Linked DNA regions of Elephas maximus indicus. The protein of the gene in region 1 interacts with the protein of each later gene in a pairwise test. Links are inferred from orthologs where the notes say so. Each region holds a gene or a part of one and is shown in the gene's direction. Other genes may lie near its edges.

The links.
Region 2: the proteins of FXR2 (region 1) and ARL6IP1 interact in binary tests that used the Homo sapiens proteins (3 or more experiments, as listed by UniProt). The two-hybrid records come from large-scale screens. The link is inferred for Elephas maximus indicus from reciprocal best matches to the Homo sapiens genes FXR2 and ARL6IP1.
Region 3: the proteins of FXR2 (region 1) and ZMAT2 interact in binary tests that used the Homo sapiens proteins (3 or more experiments, as listed by UniProt). The two-hybrid records come from large-scale screens. The link is inferred for Elephas maximus indicus from reciprocal best matches to the Homo sapiens genes FXR2 and ZMAT2.
Region 4: the proteins of FXR2 (region 1) and PRAM1 interact in binary tests that used the Homo sapiens proteins (3 or more experiments, as listed by UniProt). The two-hybrid records come from large-scale screens. The link is inferred for Elephas maximus indicus from reciprocal best matches to the Homo sapiens genes FXR2 and PRAM1.

Annotation. Positions count from the first base shown.
Region 1 is NC_064837.1:13,168,357-13,175,690, forward strand, and holds the start of FXR2 (RNA-binding protein FXR2), read left to right. Parts: upstream 1-4,320; 5' UTR 4,321-4,736; coding exon 4,737-4,817; intron 4,818-7,334. UniProt on the Homo sapiens protein: mRNA-binding protein that acts as a regulator of mRNAs translation and/or stability, and which is required for adult hippocampal neurogenesis. Specifically binds to AU-rich elements (AREs) in the 3'-UTR of target mRNAs.
Region 2 is NC_064830.1:78,618,495-78,626,152, reverse strand, and holds the start of ARL6IP1 (ADP-ribosylation factor-like protein 6-interacting protein 1), read left to right. Parts: upstream 1-4,643; 5' UTR 4,644-4,730; coding exon 4,731-4,766; intron 4,767-6,821; coding exon 6,822-6,955; intron 6,956-7,658. UniProt on the Homo sapiens protein: Positively regulates SLC1A1/EAAC1-mediated glutamate transport by increasing its affinity for glutamate in a PKC activity-dependent manner.
Region 3 is NC_064820.1:153,927,625-153,934,704, forward strand, and holds the start of ZMAT2 (zinc finger matrin-type protein 2), read left to right. Parts: upstream 1-4,070; 5' UTR 4,071-4,161; coding exon 4,162-4,179; intron 4,180-4,511; coding exon 4,512-4,605; intron 4,606-5,681; coding exon 5,682-5,805; intron 5,806-7,080. Other genes in the region: histidine--tRNA ligase, mitochondrial, read left to right, coding at 70-163, 477-604, 697-939, 1,100-1,216, 1,437-1,583, 2,005-2,064. UniProt on the Homo sapiens protein: Involved in pre-mRNA splicing as a component of the spliceosome.
Region 4 is NC_064821.1:13,197,433-13,204,430, reverse strand, and holds the start of PRAM1 (PML-RARA-regulated adapter molecule 1), read left to right. Parts: upstream 1-3,982; 5' UTR 3,983-4,236; coding exon 4,237-4,490; intron 4,491-5,275; coding exon 5,276-5,373; intron 5,374-5,970; coding exon 5,971-6,122; intron 6,123-6,566; coding exon 6,567-6,998. UniProt on the Homo sapiens protein: May be involved in myeloid differentiation. May be involved in integrin signaling in neutrophils. Binds to PtdIns(4)P.

The DNA of each region.
Region 1 (7,334 bases):
TTTAAAATAGAACACTAAAGTACTGATTGGAAACTGTGTGTGTGTATAGACTGAAAAATTAATAGGGTCCATGTTGGAACTCTGAACTATACCAGTATTTAAAGGCTTGGCAAAAGAAGAGGTGCTTCTGAGAGCAACTGAGGAGGAACAGCAGAAACTAGGGTGATAGAAATGGTAAGAAGACTGTCATCAGTGATTCTGATAAGAAGCAGGAGGAGTTAGAGAAGTTAAATGGGGCAGATTATCAAGAGAAGAGTGCTGGCTGTCAGACTAAAGAGTTTGGGTTTGACTGTTAAGCAGTAAGGAGTGACTGAATTTTGTTATAGAAATTTCACAAGTGCCAACTTCCAAGCCTCTGGCACCAATGGTCCTCTCAGGTTTGACTTTTCCTCTATCTGCTCTAGTCTTTGTTCATTCAGGTAAAGGATGGGAGTGGGGAAAAAGGAGAGCAGCATTTCAGACAGGGGCCTGGCATGTGCAGAAGGCCTAGAGGGCAGTATGTAGTGCGTTTGAGGTACTGAAAAGAATCTGATGTGGCTGCAACAGACTTGGAGAGGAAGCATGGTTAAGATTGGCTTGAACTAGAGCTTGGAGGGCTTGAAATGTATTTAGAAGTCCGTGCTTTCTGAAAGCACTTTAATTTTCTCCTACAACTTTATGACTAATATGGTGATGATTCCCACATCTACCTCTCTAGTCCAGGTCTACCTGCAGGACATTGATTCCCTGTACAGGGTATACAATGGTGGGGACAAATAGACATAGAACCCAGTCTCTGATCTCATAGAGCTTACAGTGTGGTGGCTGAAGAAAGACGAGACTGAAATAATGCCCAAATTATTACATTACAACCATGACGAGTGCCATAAAGTAGTACAGGATGTTTCGACAGTGTAAAACAGGGGACCTAACCTAGTGTGGGCAATAGTGGAAGGCTAAGAAAATTATATTTAAGCTGGTATCTGAAAGAGAAATTTGTTGAAGGTAAGGGAACATCTCTACCTCGATGGCCCTCAGGTGCTCAAACTTAAGGAGTTCAAAGCCAAATTCATTAAACTCATCACCTTCTTCTCCAAACCAATGCCTCTGTGTTCTCTTTTCTGTGGTCGGCATCACTATTCAGCATGTAACCCAAGTTAGAAATCTGAGATTCGTCCTGTGTTCCTGCCACTTCTTCACTGACCACACCTTACTCCACCTTCCATCACCAATTCTTGTTGATTCTACCTCAAATCTAACAGGTTGTACCTAACAGCCTGTACCTCTGTTGCCCATAGCCCTAATCCAGGTAGGTCTTCTTCATCACTCTTACTGGCAACAGCTCCTTCCAGGTCTCAGGGCTTTCAGGACCACCTTTACACTTCAATTCATTCACCACAGTTGTAAAATGCAAATCTTATCATATAATGCTACTCAGGGGTGGACTACACAAGGTAAGCATGGTGTTGCTTTCCTTACCAGATCGTCTTTAGTGAACAATTTTACATTTTTTCGCCACATCAAAGAGTCTGCTTTTAGGTATGGCTGGCATCTGTCTCCCAACCCCACAGCACTTTGTACAGAATCAAAGCCTCTTTTTAAATTACAATCCCTGACAGGGGTGCATAACCCAGTAAGCAAGGTAAGCACGGGCTTACTTGTGCTTGCTTACTAATCTATAGTGAACAATCTCACATGAGATTCAAATGTGGAGAAACCCATGTGAGATTGTTCACTACAGATGATCTGGTCGGTAAGGTAAGCACCATGCTTACCTTGCTTATTGGATAATCGGCCCTGATGCTACCGCCTAAATTCTTTCAATGGCTACCATTATTGATAAAATAAAAGCTGTTCTCCTTAATCTGACTTACAAGTCCTTTACAGCATAGCTTCCTGCAGTTCCCTACTTCACGCCAAATGCTAGTTTAAGCTACTTGAAGGACAAGCTCTTTCTGCTCCTCTGCACATTGTATTCTTTATTCTGTCAAGAATACCCTTAACACACTTTTCCTCTAGCAAACTCCTACTCATGCCTCGAATCTCAATTTGCATCACCTCCTCTGTGTGGTCTGCCCTGACAACTCTTAAGAACAACTGACCATTGTCTCCTGGGGCTTCCCTCTATACCTAGTCCTCATCTCTATCACATCTTCAATCACATTCTGTGCATTTGTTTAAATATTTGTCTGCAGCGCAGTGAATTACTTAATATGGCCCTTCTAGCCACAGTCCGAAGGAGCCCTGGTGGTGCCGTGGTTAAAGCACAAGGCTGCTAAAAGTTGGCAGTTTGAACCCGCCAGTCACTCCACAAGAGAAAGATGTAGCAATCTGTTTCTGGAAAGATTTATGGCCTTGGAAACCCTATGGGGAAGTTCTACTCTGTCCTACAGGGTCACTATTGATAAGAATCAGTTTGAGGAGCCATAGTCTTTGTAACTCTCACCAAATTACTGGGTGAGGACAAATGAGGTGCTTGTGGCCCACCAAGGGGATTGGATAGCTTGCTAATAACTAAGTCAGGTGCATGGCACCCTTGTGGTGGGTGGGGCCATGCAAATAAGGTGTATGGAAACCTAACAAGGGGATTGGTCAGTTTTGCCAGGCTTAAAATGAGCCATCCCAGAGGTGGGAAGGAAGCATCTCACCACCACCAAGAAAGAAGAGCCAGGAGTAGAGTGTGTTCTTTGGACCTGGGACCGCTGCACTGAGAACCTCCTAGATCCAGGAGACAGAGATAGAGAGCTGTAACGGGAGCCCTGGTGGCACAGTGGTTAAAATGCTCAGCTGCTAAGGGAAAGGTCAGTGGTTTGAACCCACCAGCTGTTTTGCGGGAGAAAGATGTGGCAGTTTGCTTTGGTAAAGATCTACAGCCTTGGATATCCCTTGGGGCTCGCTATGAGTCAGAATTGACTCACTGGCAATTTTTTATCTTTTGTAATTTTTGCAGAAGCCGTTCGCCAGGCTGTTTCTTCCGTGGTACTGCTGGGTGGGCTTGAATCATCAACCTTTAGCTTAGTCTGAGCACAGACTGAACATCCAAAACCCAAAACCCGTTGCCATTGAGTCAATTCTGACAAATAGCAACCATAGGACAAAGTAGAACTGCCGGATAGGATTTCCAAGACTGTAATCTTCACTGAAGCAGACTGTCACATCTTTCTCCTGCAGAGCGGCTGATGGGTTTGAACCACTGCTCTTTTGGTTAGCAGTAGAAAGCTTAGCCACAGCACCACCTTAAACCAAACTTACCCACACCACCTGTTGCCGTCCAGTGGATTCCGACTCATAGTGACCCTATAGGACAGAGTAGAACTGCCCTATAGGGTCTCCAAGGAGCGGCTGGTGGATTCAAACCGCAGACCTCTTGGTTAGCAGCCGAGCTCTTAACCACTGTGCCACCAGGGCTCCAATACATTAAAAAAAAAAGGAAAAACCCGTTGCCATGGAGTCAATTCGGACCCATAGCGACCCTATAAGATAGAGTAGAACTGCCCAGTGGGGGCTAAATAAATGTTCACTAAATAATGAAGTGCACAACGCACGACTCTAATTTCTGTGCTCTTTAACTCACTTCTACCTAAATTTCTCACTTGTCTCAGCTCAAGAATCCGAAGTTTTCCTCATTCTACCCTTAAAAAAAAAAACCCTTACTCCCCGGCAATTCTTCCTATTTTGAATTTTCTCAGCATTTAGATATAAGATTTTGTGCCAATCTAAGTTCCATTTCCCAGTGTTGCCCTGAAATTATTCTGTAATCTTTCATTATATGCATGACCAGGATCTCCTTGTATTCTCAAGGCAAGAACCGTAACTCTTAAGTCTCCTATAGCACAAAGTTGTAGGAGCGTAAAAGAAATTCAAAACACGCTTGTGGACAGCGCACGCGCATCAGGCACTTTTTGGCATTCCGACCCATTTTTTTTTTTTTTTTTTTTTTCTTCCTTTGGAGCGTGCGCACCAAGAAAGACAAAAGGTGGGGAAAATGACCAAGCAGTCATTCAGGCGCATGCCCAACTCTAACATAGCCAAGCCAAGTGGGGCTCCTAGTGGTGAAGCGGCTGTGGTATGACCAGAACCAGCAGAAATCCAATCCGACTGAGTGAGCTTGGTCCCTCCCTTCCCATGATTGGCTAGCTCTCAGTGTTGTGGGGCGGGGAAAGGAAGAGATGGAGTGTGGAAGAGAGGGGGGCGGGGACAGTGAAGAACGCTTAACTCGTTCTGCGCAAGCGTAAGTCAGCGACCAGGAGGGGGCGTGAGAGAGTGAAAGGGAGTGTGGAAGTCCCGATGCGCTGGCGAGCGCGAGCGGGGTCGCCAGCCTTGACGCCTGCGCCGTGGCCCTCCCGGCCCCGCGCGCGGCGGGCGGGTGCCCGGTGCGCCTGCGCAGTAGGCGGCGGCGGCAGAGGGAGGTGGAGGCCGTGGAGCGGCAGCGGCAACAGCGGGTCCCGGGACTGAGGCGGCAGCGGGGGCGGCGGCGGGCGGAAGCTGAGGTGACGAAGGCAGCGGCGGCGGCGGCGGCGGCAGCCGTTTCCCTCACGGTGGCGGAGACCAAGGCGGCGGCGGCGGACGGGGAGCGGCCCGGCCCCGGCCCCCTGCTCGTTGGCTGTGGCAGGGCCGCCGTGGGGCCGGCCCGGCTCCCGCCCCCCGCGGCTCCCCCTCCGGCTCCTCCTCCGGGGAGACGCCGGGGGCCCGGCCCGGCCCGGACTCAGACCACTGCTGCAGCCGCCGCCGGGGCAGTCGGAGGCGGTGGCGGCGCCATGGGCGGCCTGGCCTCTGGGGGGGATGTGGAGCCGGGACTGCCCGTCGAGGTGCGTGGCTCCAACGGGGCCTTCTACAAGGTGAGGCGGCGCGCCGATCGGGGACACCTGCCTGTACCCCCTCCCCCAGCCAGAGCAGGGAAGAGCAGGGCGGGATCGAGCTCTGGAGCCGAGTCCTGACCCCTAGAACCTTAGACTCACGCTCCCACCCTCAGCTCTCAGGGGGAGACCTCTGGGAGTTAACCCTCTTCCTCTTGTTTTTGACCCTCTATCACACCCGCTTTTTATCTCATGTCAGAGAGAATGACTGTCAGGGCATTGTTGTGTCTGAATTTGTGTCTCTCTCCTCCCCCCAGAAAACAACTCCGTTTACCCAGCTTATTGACTTTTTCTGTTTCACAGTAGAAGACAGACCTTAGAATAGCATTTCTCCACAGCCTGAGCACATGTAGAATTCTCTTTCTTCTCCCTCCTTCCCCCATGGGAAGGCTGTCCCATATTAGATCGTTTCATCTTCCTCTGAGAGACCTCTGCCCACTGGCTCTGGGAAACCCAACCCATTTTCACCTTGTATTCCTGTTGCCAGCCTGAGGAGAAACGGTCAAAATTCATTTATGGTATTTGGCATCTTTGACCTCAGGAACTCTGGATTATTCCAATCCAGTTGCCCCCCAGCCATAAGGTGGCATCTTTTCCCAGGCCTCTCACCCCACCCATTTATCTTAGGGCCAGTTGGTCTACTCTTCTACCAGGAATTAACTTGCATTAGTTATTTCACTTTGACCTTACGTATGTTTAGATCATCCGTAGTTTTTCCATCTTCATGAACACTAAAAGGGTCCCTTCTGTTTATCCTCTTCTTAAAGATTTCCACTTTTAGAAGACTTTTGGCCAGCTCTCCTAATTTGAGAATCTGACAGCAGTCTTTTTGGGAAGGAGAAGGGGACTAGCTTTCAAAGACCCTTGCTTATTTCAGTCCACTCCCCCTCTTCCAGAGTTTGATTCCACAGAAGTTCTGAATTTTCAGTTTTTCCCATTTAGACTAAGCCAGAGGGAGACCCTTTTTGCTTCCCAAGAATTTTTCTTTGTGTAACCATTGTTATTCTGAACCTCTCTGGACCTTACGCCTGGGATTGTCTAGAGACTTCCCTGATTCCTGTCTGTATCTTTCATGTCGCCCTGAAGAGCTGGGAAGAGATATCTTCTCAGGACATCGCTTGTAGTGAAAAGAGCCTCTTTTGCTCCACTTTCCCTCAAATCTTTTCTCCCACAGTAGACATCTATACCTTCATGCCCTTGGAAATGACTTTCTCCAACTCCTCTGTGAAGTCATATCTCACTATAACTGGAAAGGGTCTCATATTTGCCCTTGGAGTGGATGGTTTCTGCCCCAACTTCAATTGATAGGTTCAGTGTACTCATTACGTCCCCACTCTAAATGCCTATCCATTTCTGCCTTACTCCCTTCACCAGATTTCTTTATATCCAGTAACTGTGGGTACCCCTATTTGTCTATCTTAACTTTCTCAATTCACTTTTTTGACTTTTATTGTAACATTTCTATACTCCTCCGTTATCCTCAGGAACCACCTTATTCCTAGCCAGCGGAAGGAAGCTCCAGCTGATCTCTTCTGTCATCTTTTTCTCCATACTTGCCTACTCTTGGGACATTTTCTTCAAGCCTGCCCCTGTAATAGCGTTTCTGTTTTCCTTGGCAGAAAGTCTCTCATTTCTGTCTGGTTCTGATAGAGCATACTTGCCTCTTATATTCTTTCCCCCGAATTCATATTACCGTTGCCGAAATACCCTTCCTCATTAGATGTTAGCCTCACTTCCCCTAGTCATTCATCTGGGTCCTTTCTGGGTTCCAAGAAAGGTGATTCTTAAATTGAGTCTGAGATGAAGCTGTGATGTCTGTTTCTGTTCTAGGAAGCGTGGGAGCCAAGCACAGCTGGGAAAGATTGAGTATCCAGTTCAAATTAACTGTATGACATTGTTGGAAAGGGAGATATTTCACTTTCCACATACAAGTGTTCAACAGAGAGTCTGTCTCTGGATCTTTCCCACTTCTTCTGTGGGCTATGGGAATGACAGGCTTTTTGAGTGAATTAGGGACAGGATACTTTGATTTAGAGAGTAGAATTTGGACTTGAGCTAGAAGTCAGGTGATGTGGCTACTTTAGCATTTGTTGCCCCAAGGCCTCAGTTAAAAACAATAAATCCCTAAATTCAGACTAATCTTTCCTCAGTTCTCAGTGCCATATAGATGCTTATCCATTTTGACCTTGCTACTGATTTAATATTCATGACTCAGCAAACTTTTGTGTGGGTCAGGGAGTATTTACACTTTTTCTAGAGCTATAAACTTAGGGAGGTCCGTTTTTCCTCTTTAAGAATTGGGTCCTACTGTTTTGATTCTCTTCTAAGAAAGATAGAGCCGCAAATGTCAGATCTAGGATCTAAGTTATCTTGTAGCTATCCCACCAACCCTTCCTGTTCTGTCAGAACTTAGTGTATTTTATTCTTAAAGTTGTACTCTTCCAAATAAGATACCTATTCACCTTCCAGGGCATAGCCATTCAACTTTCCAGATCTTGC
Region 2 (7,658 bases), on another chromosome or scaffold:
CAAAATACCTGTGGAAAACCAGGGATCCTCTCTTTCTCCTGTGTTCTTTTTCTGTCACCCATCCCCTTTTCTCTCCCTCCCTGTCTGTCTTTCTAAGATTCAGGGGTACAGAATAACTTTCAAACAACCGCTTCTACTGAAAGTACCCTTGGAAACAGAAGTTTATCTTCAGTGTTTAATTTGCTAGATTTACCTGATTTTTAAAATTGATTTTTGTCTACAAAGCTCTGGCGGCGTAGCAGTTTATGGAGCTGTCTGTGTTTCTCTTTTACTCTTTCTTTGGTTTGTCTTGCCGTGTCTGGTCATGAGTTCTTAGTTTGCTAGGTGATAATATGAAGATTCTTTTGTGTCTGAGTACTTGTGGTGAGTTGTTTTATGTAAGATTTCTGTGTGACAACTGATAATCAGGCTCTTGATCTGCTTCCTTAAATTGCTTTCTTAGAGCCCAAACCCCAGGTTTAGGGCCATAGTTTGTCATACAAAGAAACACTTTGATCACTTCTGCCCTTAACACTTGCCTCTGTTACTTAAGGAGTAGTTTTCTTAATATCGTCCAATGTTTGGTGTTATCTGCATTTTTTGTTTTGTTTTGTTTTTTAATTGTGGTTGTTCTAATGTGTGAAATTTAAGGAAAGAGCCATTAAAAAATGCTGAGCAGGGCAATGCAAGTACAGCCAAATATTAGAGTTGATGTGCAATCTTAGGTTCTTTTTAATCTGGGGTATTATAGGCAGTACTTTAAATGGGAAAGTCTTCCTGGCCTATTTTGCCCCACATTTTTGTAGTTACTCTAGGGGCTTACTTGTTTTGGCAGTGCTAAAATCAAAGGAGCTGGTTCCTCTTGTGTTCTCAATTCTTATTTAAGAAAACACCCATAATTAGCCTGTAGGTTCTATTCATATACATACATCAAAAATCAGTGAAGGTTTTTTTTTTTTTTTTTTTTTTAGCACATTTAAGTATCTTTGTTACAGAAAATTACATGAGGATAAAAACCAATGTCCTTCCATTCTGTATCTTGTTGGACTTGTAAAATGCCAGTAATTTAGAAACCCACTCCCCCATCCCTCCCTTAAATCAAGGAGGTAGAATATATTATTAACGTAAGGGTCAACTAAAGCAAGTAAATTTTGTTTTCAATATTTGGGTCGTATCAGGAAGGTTCTTCCTATGGGAAAAAACTAGCTAGCATCACAACATTTTGCAAACATTGGGGAGGGGAAATGCATGGCATTATGAAACTCTGAGGATCTATTCCAGTTTTCCTGTTTTTTTGGCCCGGATAGCAATGTCACCGTTCCTTATTTACAAAAGGGCAAATTGACTCTAATCGAGAGAAGCTTGATAGGTCCAAAAAGGTTAGTTGTACAACATGAACCACTTAAGAGTCTCCTGCTTTCCATGGGAATTTGGCTGAACTTACTAGGGAAAAATTGTTGTGCTAAGTAACATACAAAGGCCCTAAAATAGCTTGATTTTTTTTTTTTTTTTTAAAAGATGGTAAGCTTAAGGAATTGCATGTTGTTCTGAAATGCAGAATTATAGAGTGTTTTTCTTTTAAAACAGGCTGATTACATATATTGTTTTGCTGTTTTTTTTTCCGCCCCTGGCAAAGTTTGAGCTCCTATTTAAAGTTCTTTTGTCAGTTATTTTTCTGGTTTAAATTTTCCTTATATTTCCACCTGTAATGTCAGTGGCAGTGACATCATACTTGTTTACTTTTTACCCTTATAAGAGCAAATTGAGTTGAACTGAATCTTCCTTGTCCTAGTAACATTGTATAAATAAATGAAAGAAGTGGCTTCTCTGTACAAAAGGTGGTAATGCCTCCTGATGGATATAATTTTGTGATTGTATTTAAGATTAAAAGTTGAATAAATCACACCAGCTTCCTGAAAATGTTCATAATGCATCTTTTGGAAAACAAAAATACCTGCCTACTTCGTGCAGATTTGCATTAACATGGCAAAGATTGTATGAAATACCTGTTTTTCAAAAAAATAAAGGTTCAGTCTCAAAAGATGTAGCATTTAAGCTCTGAATTTATTGGTCAAAGTAGATTCTACTTTGGGACATGGGTTGCCTTTTTTTTTTTTTTTTTAAAGCAGCAATATCTTAAAAAAATTTTTTTTTACCCTCAAAGTTCTATAATTGAACAGCAGTGGAAATTTTACTTCAATGGGAAAGTTCTTAGTCTTAAGGATCAATTTGATTAAGCTTAATTTTGGCAGTACTTCATAACAATACTCCCAAAGGTCATTACTGGCATAAAAGAAGATGTGAAGTGTATATTCCCTCGGATGTGAAAGTTCTGAAGAAAAATGGCATTAAAATGCCCAACTTGTTTTGGTATTTGAAGTTGACATTTCTTGGTGCTAGATGTTACTACCACCCATCTGCCAGCTTGCCTTACTGTGGTGGCTTGCATGTTGCTATGATGCTGGGAGCTCTGCCACTGGTTATTTCAAATACCAGCAGGGTCACTCATGGTGGACAGGTTTCAGTGGATCTTACAGACTTAAGAAACTAGGAAGAAAGGCCTGGTGGTCTGCTTCCGAAAATTAGCCAATGAAAACCCTGTGGATTACAACAGAATATTGTCTTGATACAGTGCTGAAAGATGAGTCCCTTGGGTTGGAAGTTCACTCAAAATACACAGTGGCAGCAACAAGGGACTCAAGCATGTTGAGCATGCTAACAATTGGGAGATAGCACAGGACTGGAGGACATTTCCTGTTGCACATGGGGTCGACTCAGTGGCGACTAACAAAAGCAACAGGATTTGTGTTAATTGCTCAGTCACGTGGCATATTTCAAAAGCTCACATCCTGTCTAGAGTACAGATACAGCTCAGAAGGAAAGCTACTGTGTAGTTTTTGTTTTTAATTAGGCCAATTCAAAGTCTTAGTGACAGACTGTATAGCAGTGCCCCTAGGCTGTGAATTTGGAAATAGGTTTGGGAACACATTCCTTGAGTAACAATACTCCTTGGAGAACCCATGCTCTTTGAGTTGTCTTTTTTTTTTTTTTTTTTCCAGCTGCCTCACTTTCACAATCTGGTTTTAAGAAAGCCTTCTTAAGCAGTACACAGGGAACTTGGGTGAAACCAGAAGCATTTGGTAGCAAAAGCGGATTTCTCAAGAAATGTCAGCTTTTAAAGCCTACTAAAAGCTCTATGTCTTCTCTGGATGTGGGTGTTGCTGAGCCTACAGTGAGATTGTGCACTCATAGTTTTTACTAATTATGTGAATTGCTGCTGATTGTTTAGGTCCTTTTGCCTTTTATCTTTCTTTTGAAGAGGTGGGGGAGGGCCTGCCCCTCAAACTCCATAGCTTTCAAATACCCCTAAATGGGGTCTGTATTTTTTTCCTCAACATCTCCCAAAGGAGAACTTACTGGGGAGTTCCTTTTCCTTGCAAAGCTTGTTTCGCAAGTGTTTTATCAGACCCAAATGCTTAATTTTTTCTCCAAGATACACAGAAAATTTCATAGCCTTTTTTCCATGAAATTCGCAATGCTCCTGCCTCTGCCTGGCTTTCTTGAGGCAGTATGTGGTCCGAACTATGTTCTTTCACCTATCTTTTTGCCTTCCTTTCTTTGAACTGTTAAGAACCTGGTAATTAATGAATATGCTTAAAAGAAAAAAAAAAGGATAAAAGTTGGAAGTTAAACACTGTGGTTAACTTACCTGAAACAACATCTGACCAGGCAACTTTTTTTTTTGGTATTGAATAATAATCAAAGCACTTGTTAATACATTTTGAAATCCTAGATAGAAAAAGACTTAAAAGTGTCTCTCATAGTTCTACTTCCTAAATTGCTTGTAAAGGGGTTTACATCTTAACATGACCTCTCGTGTAAAACCAATCCCTTTTTGGAGATGGAGCGTATAGATTCTCTAAGAAAACGCTCCACAATTTCCCCCAAAGTCCTCATGTAAATAAGCCAACTTTATAAATCGGTGCATTTTTCACGGGTTCTCAAGAGACTACGACCCCTCTCCACCACCCTTTTTTTCCCCAAGCCAAGGCCTTATCGCTAACTCGGTAGGAGAGAAAAATTGCAGCAAAATCTATGTAAATGCTTTTACTTGTCCACAAAAAAATCACGATGTGGGCACAAGTCACAAATCTGAGCTGAACTGCTCAGTGACATACCAAGGGGAAGAGAGAAGGGATTTTTAGGCGGGGCCGTGGAGGGGTACTGGTCTGATGGGCTCCGGTGCCCACCGACCGCCCTAACCACAACGAGGTTAAGGGCCACATCCCCTTCTCCGCCTGGCCCTGCACAGCAGAGGGGCTCCTTAACCGCATTGGGGCTCAGGGGAAGAGGGTGCGAGAGCTGCCCATGCGTCAATTACAGGGATACCAACGCTGAAACAAGCCCCTGGCAACGACCGTTCAACCGCTTCCTAGAGCTCAGGGTGGGCCGAGCACATTTCCTGGGCGCTGATTGGCTACTCCCTGTCCCAGCCTCCTCGGCCGCCTCAGCCTGTCTCTCCTTTGGCCTCGATTTCAAGCCATGCGCTGGGCAACGGTTGGTCCGGCTACCCTTCGGCTTGAGCTCGATCTGCCCAATGAGGAGGGAGCCTCGCGGAGGCTGTCGGGAAAGGCAGCCTGCCTATATAAGCACTTGCGGGCCGTACGCTGGCGCTGAGGTCGCCGTGAAAGCTCGGGGCGAGGTTTTTCTGGAAGGAGCCTTGAGCTGGCTTAGGCGGCACCTCAGGGACGATGGCGGAGGGCGATAATCGCAGCACCAACCTGCTGGTGAGTAGCGGCGGCCCATCGCGAGGAAACTGAGCAGGGCTTCCGGATTTCGGCGGGCCCAAACCGGCGACTGCAGCGGCCTCGTTCATGTCACTCGCGGCGGGCCCAGCTCTCAGGCGCAGGCGACGCTGCCTGCCTCTCGGGCTTCCTGGGTGGCGGTCACTGGTCGTATTGACCCCTGTCGTTAGCTGGGGAAGGTGCGCGACAGGGCGAGAAGGGCGCGTGATTTGTCTCCGCGATTGGGGGTTGGGGAGGAAATGTGAGAAAGGGGGATCGGCAGGGAAGCCGGGGTGCAGGCCGGGCGGAGGGCGCGGGGGCCCCAGGCGGATTTGGGGTTCCCCCTCTTTGGTATTACCCGGACTGGAATGTAGCTTTTTTCTCTTTCTCTAATACTTGGGACAGAGGTGGAAGGTCAAAGGGCTGCTGCCCAGTTTCTTTTAAAGCTGGCACAACTTAAAACGGCAGCGAGGCTCCGAGGTCACCGCAGGGAACTGGGAGTGGGGTCCAGCTGGAAGGACAATAGGACGATTTGGCGTTTGCCTGGACTTTGAAAGGCTGTGGGTCATAGGGCGGCTGGAGACAACTTTAGAATAAGCAGGAACCTGAAGGAACTACAGTGGGGTTGTATCCCAGGCTCACAAATTTAACTGCAAGACCTAGGCAAAAACAAGAGAGAAATCTTGGATTTTGTCCGTTACCCTACTCCCGGGAAAGGCTGGCCACACCACACAGCAAAGAAAAGAGGAACTGAAGCATTTAAATCTGTTTTTGAAACAGTCCAGGTGCTAACGAATTAAGTGACTTTGCCCCAGGCAGTTTTGATTGTGCATGATTTTCACTTTGTAGTGGTTTTTAGAAATGCATGGCCTGCCCCCTTAAAAATACAGAGCACACAACTTCTGGGCTGCCTTTTAAGAAGATTGAGGCACAAAGAACTCACACAGCTGTTGAAATGACAGATTCTGGTCTAGACCTTGGAATCCCGCACTCAACTACTCTTTTCCAGCAGAGCAGAATAACTTGTAATGTGAGCAGAGCCTTTGGCCTTGGGTTTCCTTGGTTCAAATCTGTTCATCTCTGTGTATGTATCTCAGTTTCTGCATCTGTAAAATGGGAATAATAACACCTTCCTTTTAGGGTTGTTGGAAGGATTATTTGAAGTATAAGCATATAAAATGCCTAAAGTCAGAAACATTCAGGTCACCTGAGTGAGCAATGTGGCATGAATAGCATCTTTATTGAGATTAAGCAGAACTGCCCCCTGTCATTTCCCTATTTCCTAGTGATGACATTTATAAGGATGCTTAGGTGTTCTGTTTCAATTTGTTTTTCTTTTACCAAAATCAATTTAAGGGCTTTTGCCGCATTAGCTCATCCTAGAGGTCCATTTTCAGCCAATTGCCAGATTTGCAGAGGAATTTGAAGTCTAACCAGAATGTCCTAATAAATAACAGTATTGAGGAGATATATTGAGCTTAAAATGCCACATATAATTAGGCAAAAGTAGTTTTCCTTGATTGTACAATGATGGCAACATCTACGTGATTCCATTACCCAAAAAACTATTTTAGGAGTTGAATGCTGTTCAGAGAGAGGCTTTCCTAATGCATTTCGAACTAAGGGTTTCAATCAATGAAACGACAAGAACAACAGATCAACTCTAAGCACCTGAAATGAGTGAACCTTAAGTGATCTGATTTTATAAATACTCTGGGCGCTACCACTTAGTAATGTATGAGGCTGGGAAAGTTAACATTCTGAGCTCACTTTAATTGTAAAATAGACCTAATTGTCCCTACCTCAAGGGCTCTATGTAACATGGTGTTACATCATGTATGTAAAGTAGCCCAGTGCTTGGACTTGGAATGGGACCATTAAGCGATAGGTTTTCCCCCTTTGGTTTCCTTCTGTGAAACCAAAATTACAGGGTCTTCAGAAACTAATTGTGAGGTAGCGATTTTACATATTTGGTACCTTTGAAGAATTTAACTCCCTAGGAATCACAGAAATGTTGAGATTGGTAAAGTGATCGCTTTGAATGTTGATGATATGTAGGCTGCAGAGACAGCAAGTCTGGAAGAGCAGCTGCAAGGCTGGGGAGAAGTGATGCTGATGGCCGACAAAGTCCTCCGATGGGAAAGAGCCTGGTTTCCACCTGCTATCATGGGCGTGGTTTCTTTGGTATTTCTGTAAGTGAGCTATTGCGTTACTGTGGTGTGTGCTTGCTGTTAATAAGGGCTCAGGTAATGCACAGCCTCCGTTTATGAAAGTGTTTTAAATCTTACGTATATTCTGTAGAGAATGCCATTTCTTTCTTAGAGCAGTTTGCCTAGTTTTCAGAACTTGTATTTATGTAAACTCGTAACCTAATGCAGTTAAATAAATCAGTGGCTCTCAGACTTTTTGGCCTTAAGACCCTTTATACTCTTAGAAATTGTCGAGGACCCCAGAGACCTTTTTGTCTATTGATTTTTACTGTACAGGCAGACCCTGGATTAGGAATGAGTTCCTGTCCGAAGTCAGTCTTTAAGTCAAATTTATAAGTTGGAACAGTTAGGTACAGTTTGTATCTAACTTCAGTTAGCCAAATGTTTCTGCTAGTATAGAGTACATAATGTACCTTTCTTGCGTAAAAACATTAAAGACACACTTCCAGATACACTAAAATGTCTTTAACGTAATAATACGGTAATAATAATGTTTTGATGCGTGTTGCAAAGTAGCACCTGTTTATTATTAGGAACCATTGTATGTACCTCGAATTTTTAATATAATAGGTTTTACGGGGAGAGGAGGGTTTATAGGGCTTGTAGGGGTTTGTTAAGTTGGATGTTAGTAACCCGGGGACTGCCTGTATTTGAAATTAAATTTTTTTTTTTTTTTATTATATAA
Region 3 (7,080 bases), on another chromosome or scaffold:
GTGAGATGTCTTTTTCCAGTTAGAGAAGGAAGGGTCTTGAGACCGAGCTAATGTTTGGGTATTACGCAGATGTCTTGGAAAGATGTGAGACACGAGATGGTGACAAAGAAGAGCCTGGCTCCTGAGGTGGCTGATAGAATTGGGGATTACGTCCAACGTCATGGTAAGAACCAGGGTTTTCAGAGCTATGTGATAGAACCAGGGTAAGGGTGACATGTGTACAACTTCTGCCTCTGAAACTACTCCTTTCCAGAGATGGTGCAGAGCTCCAGAGCCTGGCCTGAATTTAATTCCCCTTTTACTGTAGCCACTTTGTGTTTTCAGATGGCAAAGGTAGAGGCAGAGGAGGCACCTGGTCATATGATCTTTTTTTAAGAAAATGAGTGGGTCTGGCTGGAGCACATTTAGGATAAATTTGGATGAAACACATTTAGATGAAAATAATAGGCCTTATTTTTCACCACATGTCTCCCCAGGTGGCGTGTCCCTGGTAGAGCAACTGTTCCAGGATTCCAGACTGTCCCAGAACAAGCAGGTCCTGGAGGGCCTGAGGGACCTGAAGCTGCTGTTTGAATACCTGACTCTTTTTGGAATTGCTGAGAAGGTAAGATGAGTTGAGAGTGGGCTTCCTGTTGAGCCCTGGGCTCCCAGGGTTCTAAGTCTTGTCTGAGATTGATGATAGTTTTGTCCCCACAGATCTCTTTTGACTTAAGCCTGGCCCGGGGCCTGGACTACTATACAGGAGTGATCTATGAAGCAGTTTTTCTACAGACCCCAAATCAGGCTGGAGAGGAGTCCTTGAGCATGGGCAGTGTGGCTGCTGGTGGGCGCTATGATGGGCTGGTGGGCATGTTTGACCCCAAGGGCCACAGGGTGCCATGTGTGGGGCTCAGCATTGGAGTGGAGCGGATCTTCTCTATTGTGGAGCAGAGAATGAAGGTAGGTCCTAGGTATGGGTGAATGGGGCCAAAGGCCTAAAAACCCCTCACGTTTCTGGAGGTGAAGTTGGATCATTTTCCTTACTACTCTTTATATCTTTTGGAGTTATTGATGCAAAGAAGTTCTTACTAGTTTTGCTATTTTTTCTTTCTTTTATTAGGTTTTTGGTGAAAAGGTACGGACCACAGAGACTCAAGTATTTGTGGCCACACCACAGAAGAATTTTCTCCAAGAACGATTGAAGCTAATTGCAGAGCTCTGGGATGCTGGGATCAAGGTATGGTGGAGCTGATATCCAGACCACCTAGGAATATGTGGAAGTTAATCCCAGTGTAATGTTTAGGCTGAAACTCCAGACCTTTTTAGTCTTCATTAGAGTGGCTTCTTAGGGTAGGAGGGCCAGCCACTTATTTCTGGCTCCCTTGGAAATACTTACTCCTATGATTTGTGTGCTGTGGTGACTTCTAAGCCTCCTACTCTGTCTTTACCTTTTTCAGGCTGAGCTACTGTACAAGAACAACCCTAAACTACTAACCCAGCTGCACTACTGTGAGAACATGGGCATTCCACTGGTGGTCATTATTGGTGAGCAAGAAATGAAGGAAGGGATCATCAAGCTCCGTTCAGTGGCCAGCAAGGAGGAGGTGAGTGGGGGCAGGCAGAGATAGATGGAATCAATGTTTCTACCTTTCCTGGATTCTTTAAGAAATACATATTTTCTGGCTGGAGAAATATCCCCAGGGTTAATAGGGATAGAGATGAATGAAGATCTACCCCAAATAACTATTGCAGCCAATGAGTATTGTCCAGGTAGGCAGAAGGACAGATGCAACCTGAATGCATACTTTGAGACTAATCAACAAAAGATATAGATGAGGTATTTGCATTTGAATCCCTTTACTCTTGAGGACATATGTTCTCCATGTCAACTTGAAGCACACGTTACTTCCTGTGGGTTGCTTAATTAGTGGGAGCAGATGCAGAGTAATATGAATCTAGAAAAGCAGTGGCTAAGGAGCTGGTATCACTTTTGAGCTTGTCACATGAGGGTTCTTTATGTTTCAGGTGACCATTAAACGGGAACATCTTGTGGCTGAAATTCAGAAGCGACTATCTGATTCTTGATCCTTGCCTGACTGTCATCTTCTGCTCTTCGTAGAAAAAGTTTCATCTAGGACTGAGTTCCCGATGGATATCACAACTGCTGTCCAGGATGGGTGACAAGCGCCTTCTGCCTTTGCTATCCTTCCTTGTTACAAAATTAATAGAAAGCCCTAAGGACTCCTGTGTCCGGTGGCTTCAAGTCATTAGTGTGAGCAGTTATTCTGCGTAGGGGCAGATGACTGATACTGTAAAGAGACATGTTCTAACTGCAGAGGCAGATGGCAGGTTTGAAGTGCCAACTGAATGCTGCCAACAGGTGCTGATATGGTTGCTGTGAGCCGAGCTCTCGGAGAGTCACCTCAGGCTGAGAGGACTGAGCAGTTGAGATCAGAACCATGATACTTAACCTTCCACTGCAGCTTCTGAAGCTGAGGCTGGTGAATTTGTCTGCAGCCAGCCCTTGGCCTGTCCAGGGAGTTTTTGGAGACAGCAAGAAGAGGCAGTGGTTGCTTTCTGCTAATGTCTGAAGACAGAGATGCTACACCACTGGATGCAAGACAGTAGCCAGATTGATCTGGTATCTAGCCCATCCATTGTTAACAACAGGGTGGGGCTGTCTGTTTAAGATCTTGAATGTCGAACTTAATAGGTGACTGACAAGATGAAAATCTGATCTTTTGAGATTTTGGAGATCATTTCCTGTGCCAGAGTCACCGCTCTGACTATTCCATGCCCCTTCATAGAACACTTTGCTGTCAAGTTGTCTGGGTAGGACAGAGTAGAGCTGTCCCACAGGATTTCCAAGAAGCGGCTGATGGATTTGAACTGCTGACCTTTTGGTTAGCAGCCAAGCTCTTAACCACTGCGCCACCAGGACTGCCCTTCCATAGGAGTAGCTGTTTTATAAGTGGTTGGATATGTTAAATAAAATATTAAATGTAGTAGTTTGAATAATTTGTTATCACGGGAATAGGCCATAGAAAATACTTGAGTATACACTGGAAAACTGGAACCTCCTTGGGATGATGTTTATTCGTTCAGTGAAGTGAGCAGCCACACTCTGTCGTATCGCTGAAAATCAACATACAGTGAGCCGTGTGCCAGAGTGCTTCACCAAAGAGTGTTGCTGATGAGTGACTTTCCCAAGTCCAATCATGTTCATTAAATTGTACTGTATAGGTTGAATGACTATAATGTTCCTAGCCGAAGGAAAAAATGAGTTAACCAAGGGGTGATAACATTGCTTCAGGAAAAAGAGATAAGGTGCAAAAAGTGCTTCCCATACATTTTTGACCTTTGCAAACACTTCAGCATAGCTTAGGGCCATAGCTCTAGTTTATGCAGGTGAATGGGGCATCTGTTGTTAGGTGGCCAGTGGGTTCTGACTCAACAGCAATCCCATGCACAACAAAAGGAAACACTGCCCCCTCGTGCGCCATCCTCACTATCCTTGCTATGTTTGAGCCCAATGTTGCAGCCACTGTGTCAATCCATCTTGTTGAGGGTCTTCCTCTTTTTCACTGACCCTTTACCAAGCATGATGTCCTCCAGGGACTGATCCCTCCTGATAATATGTCCAAAATACATGAGATGAATTCACGCCAGCCTGACTTCTAAGGACTGCTCTGGCTATACTTTTTCCAAGACAGACTTGTTTGTTTTTCTGGCAGTCCATAGTATATTCAATATTCTTTACCAACACCACCATTCTAATGGGGCATTTAGAGTCTCTGTTCTTTATCCTTAAAGATGGTTTAGAAACTCATGACAATGTGTGCAAAGTTGATTAGGTTAGATTAGAGGAACCTGTTTCTGAGCCCCAAGTTCCCTCGTTTGTAAGCAGAGGAGCCCCACTAAATCTCTTCGTAGCTCTTGCGAAAAACCACGCCAAAAAAAATGTTAGCAGGTGCCCTTACTTCCGTGTAGCTTCATGCTGCCCTTGCGCCTGCGCCGTCTCCTTGGAGCAGAGGCGGGGTCAACAAGCCTATTTTAGAAGCCCTCCAGTTCTTAGCAGCCTTAGAAAACGACACTCTAAGTTTATTGGAGAGCAAGTTTGCTTTACGCCCGAAGGCCGCTTTTTACGACATTTTCCAGCTTCCCATTCACTTCGCAGTGAAGATGGCGTCGGGCAGCGGGGTAAGTGCTCTGTGTGAGGGGGAGGTTTTGGGGCCTTCTCTGGGCGGAATAGAGACGGACTGCTGCACGGGACTGGCTATCCGACACCTCCTCGCGATCGCAGGGTCTGGGGTGCGTGAGTTCTTCCGTAAGGCCTGGGCGCAGGATCAGCGGCATCGCAGAGGTCTTGGGTTAGGGTCCCGAGGCCACCTCAGCCTCCTTTTACGGGTTCGGAGTGGCTTCTCTCTCGGAGGGTCCTGGGGCCACCTTGGCAACGAGGATCCGGTACTTTCAGTTTCTCTAGGGTTCCAGGCATGGTTAGCGACGGATCTTGAGTGCTTTTTTACCCACAGACGAAAAACTTGGACTTTCGCCGAAAGTGGGACAAAGATGAATATGAGAAGCTCGCCGAGAAGAGGCTCACGGAAGAGAGAGAAAAGAAGGATGGTGAGTGCTTGCCCAAGCAGGAGCCAGTGGTATCATAGTAGCGATGAAATCGGAGTGAGTGAGGAGTTAAAATGCGTTGCTTCTCCTCTTCTACTTTGTGTGACCTTTTGCGGAGCATAGTCCCCCTGATCCACGGTTTCTTTTGTATAAAGTGAGGGCGATGAGGTGGACTGAAGTGGTTTTTGAGATCCTTTCCAGCCCTGGTTGGTTCATTTGGTGCTTTCCTGATGTACAGAGCTTGGAATTCTTAGTAATGTCAGAGAAGAAGCTAAGTGGTGTGTATTGCTGCTGTGCATTACTGCTATCGAGGACTCCTTCTTTCCCTTGGAATTACTTCAAGAAGAGGAGAACATTTCTGACCCAGTCAAGACCCTCTGAGAACAGCGGAAATACTCATCAGGGAACCATGTGATTGTTTCAGCTAGTGCTTGGTAGTGCTGTTTTTCTTTGCCTTGTACAATGTCGAGGAGGTGGAGTTTCTCTCCTACATAAAGATCCCACTTGACAAAAAGGAATGTCTTATTTTCTTCTCTATTTCCAAATTTGTACATTTTTCTTCCATTGTATTCTCACATCATCTTGCTCCACAATCTCTTTCATTTTTTATGTAACATGTATGACGGTGCTTGGCCCATAACTGGTACTTCCTAAATGTTGGGTCCATTCCCCGCCCACTCTCCCTTTTATTTTGAAGCAGCTTGCAAAGGTTTCTTTCTGTGTTATGTTTAGAGTATCTGCCTGAGAGCATTACTGAGTGTCCTTGCTATTCTTTCAAAAGGTTGCTCTTTGTGCAAACTCCTCCCTTCAACTCAGTTAATCAATGAATAGAAAACACATTGCTTTTAGACTTACTGGCTTTAAACTGGAGAAAAGCTATAAGAAGTTGGGGATTGCTTATCACTTATTTCTCTGTTTAGGCTCTCCTTAGCTGCTGCTTCAAGGTGTCATTGTGTCCCTTGCTTCAGGAATCAAGAAATGAGTGTAGAGTTCTGAATTTTTGGTTTCATACATTTCTTTTTCTTTTCTGGTTGTGGAACTGTGATATCGAAGGGGCTCCCCTCCCCATTGTGTTCCAGGAAAACCAGTGCAGCCCGTCAAGCGGGAGCTTCTGCGGCACAGGGACTACAAGGTGGACCTGGAATCTAAGCTTGGAAAGACAATTGTCATTACCAAGACCACCCCGCAATCTGAGATGGGAGGGTGAGTTGCTGGTCGTCTTTTTCAGCAGCCAACAGTGGATCTAATAAACTATATTGGTTTTAGGAAGTGCTAGAACGGCCCCTGGCCTGCAGATAACAACCTGTTTGCCTGTAATTCCATTCTTAGATTTGTTTTTCTTTTAGTCTTCCAAGTTAACACGATCACGTCTCTAGGAGGGGTCACTCCATAGGCTTTGACATATTAGCACAGTAAATACTTCTTAATATCTTAAAAGAGATTATTTGTTCTCCTGCCAGAGAAAGAAATGAAGGAAACTACTGAAGAGATTTTTAGAGAGAAATTAGCTAGAGCTAGAATGGAGCCTAGGAGCTCTAGTGGTGAAGTGGTTAAGCACTTCACTGCTAACAGAAAGGTCAGCAGTTAGAACCCACCAGCTGTTTTGTGGGAGAAAGTTGTGGCAGCCTGCTACCATAAAGATTTATGGCCTTGGAAACCCTATGGGGCAGTTCTGCTTTGTCCTACTGGGTCTCTCTGAGTCAGAATTGACTGGGCAGCAGTGGGTAGCATGGAGCCTAGGAGCTGCTGATGGTGAAGAAGGGGGTTGGTATTCCAGACAGGCCACAAAGGCTGTATTCCTTATGGATTGCCTGGTTGTGCACCTTCCTCCCAGACCAAGACTATAACTTATAAGAAGGATCCCACAAGAGCTCTTCACCTTTCTCCCCATCCCTACTACTGCATCCAGTTTTTTAAGTTTTCTAGCAGGAAGGCAACACAGATAGTAATTAATGACGTGTTTAGTAAACTCCCTGTTGTCATTCCTCTCTCTATTAGTTACCTATTGATATGTAACAAATTGCCCCAAAAGGTAGCAGTTTAAACAGCATACAGCTCCCAAATTTCTATGGGTAAGTAATCTGGAAGTGGTTTAGGTAGGTGGTTTTGGCTTAATCTGTCTCAAAGCTGCAGTCAAAAGCGTTGGCTGGGACTACAGTCGTCTGAGGCTTAAATGGGATCGGAGGACCGGCTTCTAAGCTGTGTCGTATGACTGCTGGTTGGAGGCCTCAGTTCTTCACTTTATTAGCTTCTCCATAGGGCTGCTTACAACAAGGCAGCTGACTTTACCAGAGCACATGATCCAGGAGGGAGGGACAGATGGATGGACTAAGACAGAAGTGATGGTCTTTTATCACCTCGTCTTAAAAAGTGACACACCATCACTTTTTCCACTTCCTGTTGGTCTCAAGACCAACCCCGGTGCAATATGGGAGAGGAATACTCAAGTTTGTGGATACCAGGAGGCGGGGGCTGTCT
Region 4 (6,998 bases), on another chromosome or scaffold:
GTCTTCCTCTTTTCCGCTAACCCTGTACTTCACCAAGCATGAAGTCTTCCAGGGACTGATTCTTCCTAACAACATGTCCAAAGTATGTAAGGTGCAGTTTCACCACCCTTGCTTCTGAGGAGCATTCTGGTTGTACTTCTTTCCAGACAGATTTGTTCATTCTTTTGGCAGTCCATGGTATATTCAATATTCTTCGCCAGCACCACGATTCAAAGGCATCAATTCTTCGGTTAATTCTTCTTCGTAGGTTGGTAGTTGAGAGCAAACCATTTGCACCACTCAGCCCAGGGACCTGGTTCATAATGATGTTAGGTGCTGTAGAATCGCTTGTGACTCATAGTGACCCCAGGCAATAGAGTAGAACTGCACATAGGACTTTACTGGCTGTAATCTTTACGGAAGCAGATCACCAGGTCTTTTCTCCCCTGAGGAGCCAGCTAGTGAGTTTGACCTGCTGACCTTTCAGTTAGCAGCCAAGTTCTTAACCGTCATGTCACCAGGGCTCCTTTGGAACATAATGTTGTGTGCTGTCAATTCCCATCCTATAGGACAGAGTAGAACTGCCCCATAGGGTTTTCTTGGCTGTAATCTTTACAGAAGAAGACGGCCAACTCCTTTCTACAATAGAGAGGCTGGTGGGTTTGAACCGCCAAACTTGCGGCTAGCAGCTGAGTGATTAACCTTTTCGACACGAGTGCTCTTGTGGTATGTAATAGGTGATCAAGAATTAATTGCCGAATGATCATCACGTAATTACTGTTTTCCATCACCCTACACCCAACCCTCCAGCGTCCCCCACCCTCCCCCAAATCCAGGCAACACCACTTCCCAATCTGGCGGCACCTTTCCAGAGACCCAAAGCCAGCGCCTTTATCCAGGGCCGTCCCCCCAGCCCATCGTTTCTGTGGAGGGAACCGCTCCCAGCTGCCCTCTGGAACAAGTTGGAACTGTACCGAAGGCCCCAGGAGCTGGATCAGGATCTGGCCTCCACCAACCACTGTGTTCACTCCAGCAACTACCTCCTATCCTCAAGCCTCCCCCACTCAAGGTCAACATTTGTCTGGTTTCCTGGGGAGCCTTCTGATCTGGCTCCCTTTCCTCTAGCTAAGCCGTGACCCACAGAGGTACCCCCTCCAACTCCAGGATGCCTTGGAGATGAGTCCTGTGAGGGCCGCAGCTGGGCCCAGCAAAGAACGCCCAGAAGTCTGTCCCTAGAGGGAATGAATGAGATGAGCTAGGGCATCCTGACTCCGGCAGGCGTCCAGCTTTCGCAGCTGGCCCAGCAAGGACACGTTCGCCAGCGACTGCAGGTTCACGTAGCTCAGGCTGAGCCGCTCCAGGCGGCTCAAGTCCGCTGTGAGATCAGTCAGGTGCCGGCCCTCTGCCCGGCAGTTGTCCAGCACCAGCTCGGTCACCTGCGGGTGCCGGCTCGGTTACCCGCACGCCAGGCTGGGCGCCGGGAGGTGGAGGCTCCTTCCTGGGCGCGTCCCCGGACCCTGGGTGGAGCACCCGCAGTCCCTGCCAGCCCTGATCCCGGGCTCCGGACTCTGCGCCCCCCCCCCAGGCGGCCCCCCCTACGCGCCCCCCGGATTGGCCGCCCACGTGCTCAGACTACCCCCGGCCTCGGACTGTTCGGACCACGTGCGGCTGAGCCTGGCCCTCGGTTGCCCGGGTGTCGCCACCCCTGACCCGGGCAGCCAGCCACATGGCCCCGGGCTCCTGCGCAGGGACCGGGCGTGCCAGCTTCAGCTCTCTGCGCACTTCAGGCCCCTCGCCCCCCGCGCTAGGACACCCGAGCGTCTAAGTTCCCAGGCCTGGTCCCCTCCCCAGTCCACAGTGTTCCAGGCTGCGCCCCAGCGAAACCCCGCTCCCCAAGGCGGATCCTGCCCCCTGATAACTTCTGCTGGGTTCCGATTCCGCAGCTGCAAGTGGAGCCGCTTGTCCATGTCTGGCCTCGCGGACCCAGGCCCCAGCTCCACAGGGAAGGCGCCAAACACACAAAGGGGGGGGGATACGCCCCCTGGTGGCCGTGCTGGGACCGCGCGCCCACACCTGCTTTCCCCGGCCTGCCACACGCACCGCCCGCTGGCTCCCCTGCCCACGAGTCACCAGCTGTCAGTCCTTTCGCTGACCTTGACTGAGCATCTACTGTATGCTCTTGGCCAATAATCATTTGTTCTTTTATTCATGCATTCCCTTACCAAACATTCCGTGCGGTGCTTTTCCAACCAGCCTTTGCTGGCTGAGGCTGGAGACCCAGAGGACCCTGGCTGGGCCCTGTTTGGAAGGGGCCCTACACCTGCAAAGTGGCCTGGAGGCTCCGGAATCCCGAGGCTGTGCTCTTAATGCAGACACAGAAATGAAGGTGCTGCCAGTTCCCTTCTGAAGGGCAGAGGATGAAGGCAGAAGGCACCGTCCTCAAGACAGGCCGGCTTGCCTTCCCTGTCTGCCCCTTCTTCAAATAAGCTCATTCCCACCTCACTACTCAAAGTGTGGTCTTTGAACCAGCAGTCCCGGCATCACTGGGGGGCCTGGGGAATCAGGCCCATCGTGGAGCTGAGTCAGAATCTGCATCTTAGCAAGGTTTCTGGTGCTGCTCAATGTAGCTGCAGATTAGAATCAGCTCTGCAGGCCTAAAACATCCTCGTACCCAGGCCACAGGTGGCTGGCTGGTGCGAACAGTCAAGTGCCTATTAGCCCAAAGGTTGGCGGTTCAAACCCACCCAGAGGTGCCATGGAAGTCAGGCCCGGCCATCTGCTTCCAAAAGGTCACAGCCTTGAAACCCTATGGAATACAGTTCTACTCTGCACATATGAAGCTGCTGTGAGTCGGAATCAAATCGACAGGAACTAACAACTTAAGGCAGTATTGTGGAAGAAAGTTCTGGCAATCTGCTTTTGTAAAGCTTACAGCCAAGAAAAGCCTACAGAGCAGTTCTGCTCTGTACATGTGGGGTCGCCAAGACGTGGGATCCACTGGAAGGCAACTAACAACAGCCCAAGCCACACCCAGACCAGTTAAGTCAGAATCCATGCAGGGTTTTGTCTTGTCAACTCCTCAGGGAATTCCAATGTTCTGAACTGGAGGCTTTCCCCGTGAGGTTGCAGACCTCCAAGGACAGGCCCCTGTCAGTACCTGCCTTTATCTGGCTGGACTGGTCCTTCCCATTGCCTCCAGCTCCTCTCTGCCACCTTGTTGCCCTCTGTCACCTCTGGTTCCTCCCCTTCACACTTTCAAGAAGGGAAGTGATGGGCTGGGGTGTCCTCAGGCCCCCTCTTCCCCCCTCTCCCCCCCGTGGGCAGGGCATTTGACCACTTCCATCACCACAACCAAATCCGCCACCCTGGCCAGGTCCTGTGCCAGCTTGTCTGCCCTAGCCCTCTAGCCTCGCAGTGTGACAGGGAAGTCTGGGTCCGAGCTGGGAAGCAGCTGGTGGGGAAGCGTTGAAATGCGGAAGGTGAGTGAGGCAAGAGGGCAGGCAATAGGCCTCAGACAGCACACCCCTCCCCTCTCCCAGCTCTTGGGGGCTCCCCAGGTCTGACCATGCCTTTCTCCCACCCAGGATGCCCCATCGGAGGCTCCAGCCAGGGCTGGATTCCCCTGGGGCCTTTCTCTCTGGAGGCAGAAGGCCCCCAAGGCCTGGCACTGAGTACCCCCGGGGGAGAGGGCAACAGAGAGTTAACAAGCTAGGGCCCCTGTTGGGCATGGATACTGCCCAGCACCTGAAGCTCAGGGACAGCAGCAGCAGGTGGGACAGGAACTCAAGGGGGACAGAGGTACCTGCAGGATCTAAGGACAGGCTGGGGTAGTCCCCGCCTCCTTTCCTTCCTCCTCTGCCTTCCACCAGCAGCCCCCACCCCTGAGAGCTGGCCAGAGCAGAAGCCACAGTCATTTCCTGAAGGCAGCAGCCCGGCGCGGGTCCCACGCGCCCCAGCCCGTCACCTGCCTGCAGCCATGGTGAGTCCCCAACCCCGGGAGAGCCCCATACCTGAGGTAGCGAAGGAGGAGCAATGGGTAGTAGTGGGCACATTGTAGGAGTGGAGAGCCTAGGAGTGGGGCTGAGACCCGGAAAGGGCCCTAAGGTAGGAAGCAGCTGGGCGCAGCTCCAGGGCAGCTCGGGCTCTGAGGGCAGGCCAGGCTGGGCTGTGACTGCAAGGGGGACAGGTGGGACAGCCCAGGACCACTCCCCACCTCCCAGGTCAGCATGAGCAGCAACCTGGTCACGGGAGGCCGGGATGAGAGTAGGGACTTCCTGTGGCGTGACAAAGTGGGTCATACATCATCACCTCCCATCCCCATCTCCCTTTCACCTGAATCATGACCTGCTGATCCTGATTTATCAGGCCTTGTGGTCACTTGGGAACCCTGGACTCAGCCAGCCCAGCTGGGGGCTTGACCAGAGACGGTTCAGGCCCCTGGCGGGGGTCCTCGTCTTTCCAAGGGGTGATCCGGACCCCCTGGCTCTCCCGACAGGGAGAGTGAGGCAAAGGTCAGGCCAGTCCTTCCCTCTTCCCGCTTGTTGCCTCCTCCTCCCCCAACCTTACTGACCCCCAGAAAGCCAGGCTCAGGGGTCTGATGCAGGGCCACCTGGGGGGAATTTATAGGTCAGAAAGGGCCTGCCCTACTTGGGCGCCTGCCCGTGCCTGTCGCCAGGAGCCTTCCGCAGCATTGTGGGCTCGTGCAGCGCCAGGGAGGGTGCCTGAGGTGGACTGTTTGCCGCTGCTGCCTGGTGTCTGTGACGTGTGCCTGTGCTTAGCCCAGGTCCGTGTGTCCCTCCACACATGTCCACGTGGGTCTGTAACAGACTGTACATGGTTGAGACGATACCTTTGTGCTTCTCTGTGTATTTTCATTTAACAGACATTTACTGAGCACCTACTTCGTGACAGGCACTGCGAAGATGACAGCCCTGGCGGCACTTACATTCTTCCAGGGGCGGAGGGTGGGGGTAGAGGCAAAAAAACAAACAAAACAAAAACTGTCAGGACACATAAAAAATGTGTGCGTGTGTGTCCGTGTATGTATAAAAGGCATGACACACGGTGGCAGCTGCTAAGGGAAAAATCACGTAGGTAGTACAGAAACAAAAAGAACAGCTGCTGGCACGTCAGCTCCAACTCACAGCGACCCCATGTGTGTCAGAGTAGAACACTGCTCCATAGGCCCTTTCCACAAGTAGATTGTCAGGTCTTTCTTCTGAGGTGCCTCTGGGAGGACGTGAACCACCCACCTTTTGGTTAGCAGACAAGCAGGTTAACTGTTTACACCACCCAGAAACGGCTGCCTTCGAGTGAACTCCGACTCATGGCGACCCCGTGTCAGAGCAGAACTGTGCGCCCTGGGGTTTCCAGTGGCTGATCTTCCGGAAGCAGGTCAATGAGCCTTTCTTCTGGGGTGCCTCTGGGTGGATGTGAACCACCAACCTTTCGGTTGGTAGCTGAGAATTGAACTGTTTGCGCCATTCAGGGAACTCAGTACTGGGGAAGGGGAACCAATTTACAATATGGCGCTCCGGGAAAACCTCTCTAATAAGCAAATACTGGAGGAGGAAGAGGAAAGAGCCACGTGGTGGAGAAGAGTGTCCCAGGAGAGGGGAAGGGCAAGTTCGAAGGCCCCAAGATGGGAGGGAAGGTAGTTCAAGGAGCAACAAGGGGAGTGGAAGGAGGCAGTGGGGAAGGAGGTGGCCCTGGGACTCGACGAGGGGCTTCAAGGGCACTTGGGACAGAGCCAGGGCCTTGCCGAGGCCTCTGGCGTTTAGTGGGCACTCGAGGAACCGCAGCAGGATTGGAGCAGCGGGAGCTGGGGCCTAACGGGCGTCCTGTGGCTGCTGTGGAGGGTGGGGAGGGGAACTGACGGAGGTGGTGAGGGAAGGGTGGGGGCCTGGAGGAGCCTGTTATAATCCAGGAATGGAGGCAGGGTCCTTGGGCCTGGTGACAGTGGTGAGGCTGTGAGATGTGTTTGGATTCCAGATGGTATTTGGAAGTTGGAACAGAAGGAACTGGAGAAACGGGGTATGAGAGGAGGAGGGCGTCAGGGATACCGGGAAGACACCATCACTGAGAGAGGACTGTGGGGGCAGCAGGCTGGGGAAACCAGGCAATCGGGCGCTCAGGTCCTGCTGGTGAGTGGGGGTGAGGGAGGGCATAGTTACAGGAGCCTGGAGCTCAGAGAGTCATCCTTGGGTGCTGCAAATGGTTAAGCAGCTGCTAGCTGAAAGGTTGGCAGTTTGAACCCACTCAAGGTGTCTCAGAAGAAAGGCCTGGCAATCTGCTTCCAAAAGGTCACCCCTGAAAACCCTTTGGAGCAGCTCTACTCTGCACACATGGGATTGCCATGAGTTGGAATGACTCGACGACAGCTGGTTGGGTTTTATTTTGTTTTGGGCTCAGGGGGAGGCTGAAGAAAAAAATATGGGGGATCCTTGAAAGAGAAAGGCATGAGGGCTGAGGCCAGGGAAGAGAAGCCTGGGGATGGTGATGGTGGTGCGTGTCTATGACATTGTCTATGTGTGTCCCCACGACCCTCTGTATCAGAGTCACCGCCTGACTGGCTCCGTGTCCCATAGGAGGGCCATCAGGACTTCCGGAGCCTCCAAGCAAAGTTCCAGGCCTCTCAGCCCGAGCCCAGTGAACTCCCCAAGAAACCTCCGAAGCTTGAGTTCAACAAACTGCCCAAGTTTCCACAGCCTGTGCCAGGCGAGCACCCCAAGAAGGCCTCACAGCCCGAATTCACTGATCACCCCAGGAAGCCCTCGCAGCCTGAGTTCAGTGCGGGCCCTAAGAAGGCCTCGCAGCCTGAGTTCCCTGATCACCCCAAGAAGCCCTCGCAGCCCGAGTTCAGTGCAGGCCCCAAGAAGGCCTCACAGCCTGAGTTCACCGATTACCCCAGGAAGCCCTTGAAGCCCGAGTTCATTGCGGGCCCTAAAAAGGCCTCGCAGGCCGAGTTCACTGATCACCCCAGGAAGCCCTTGCAGCCAGAGTTCAGTGCAGGCCCTAAG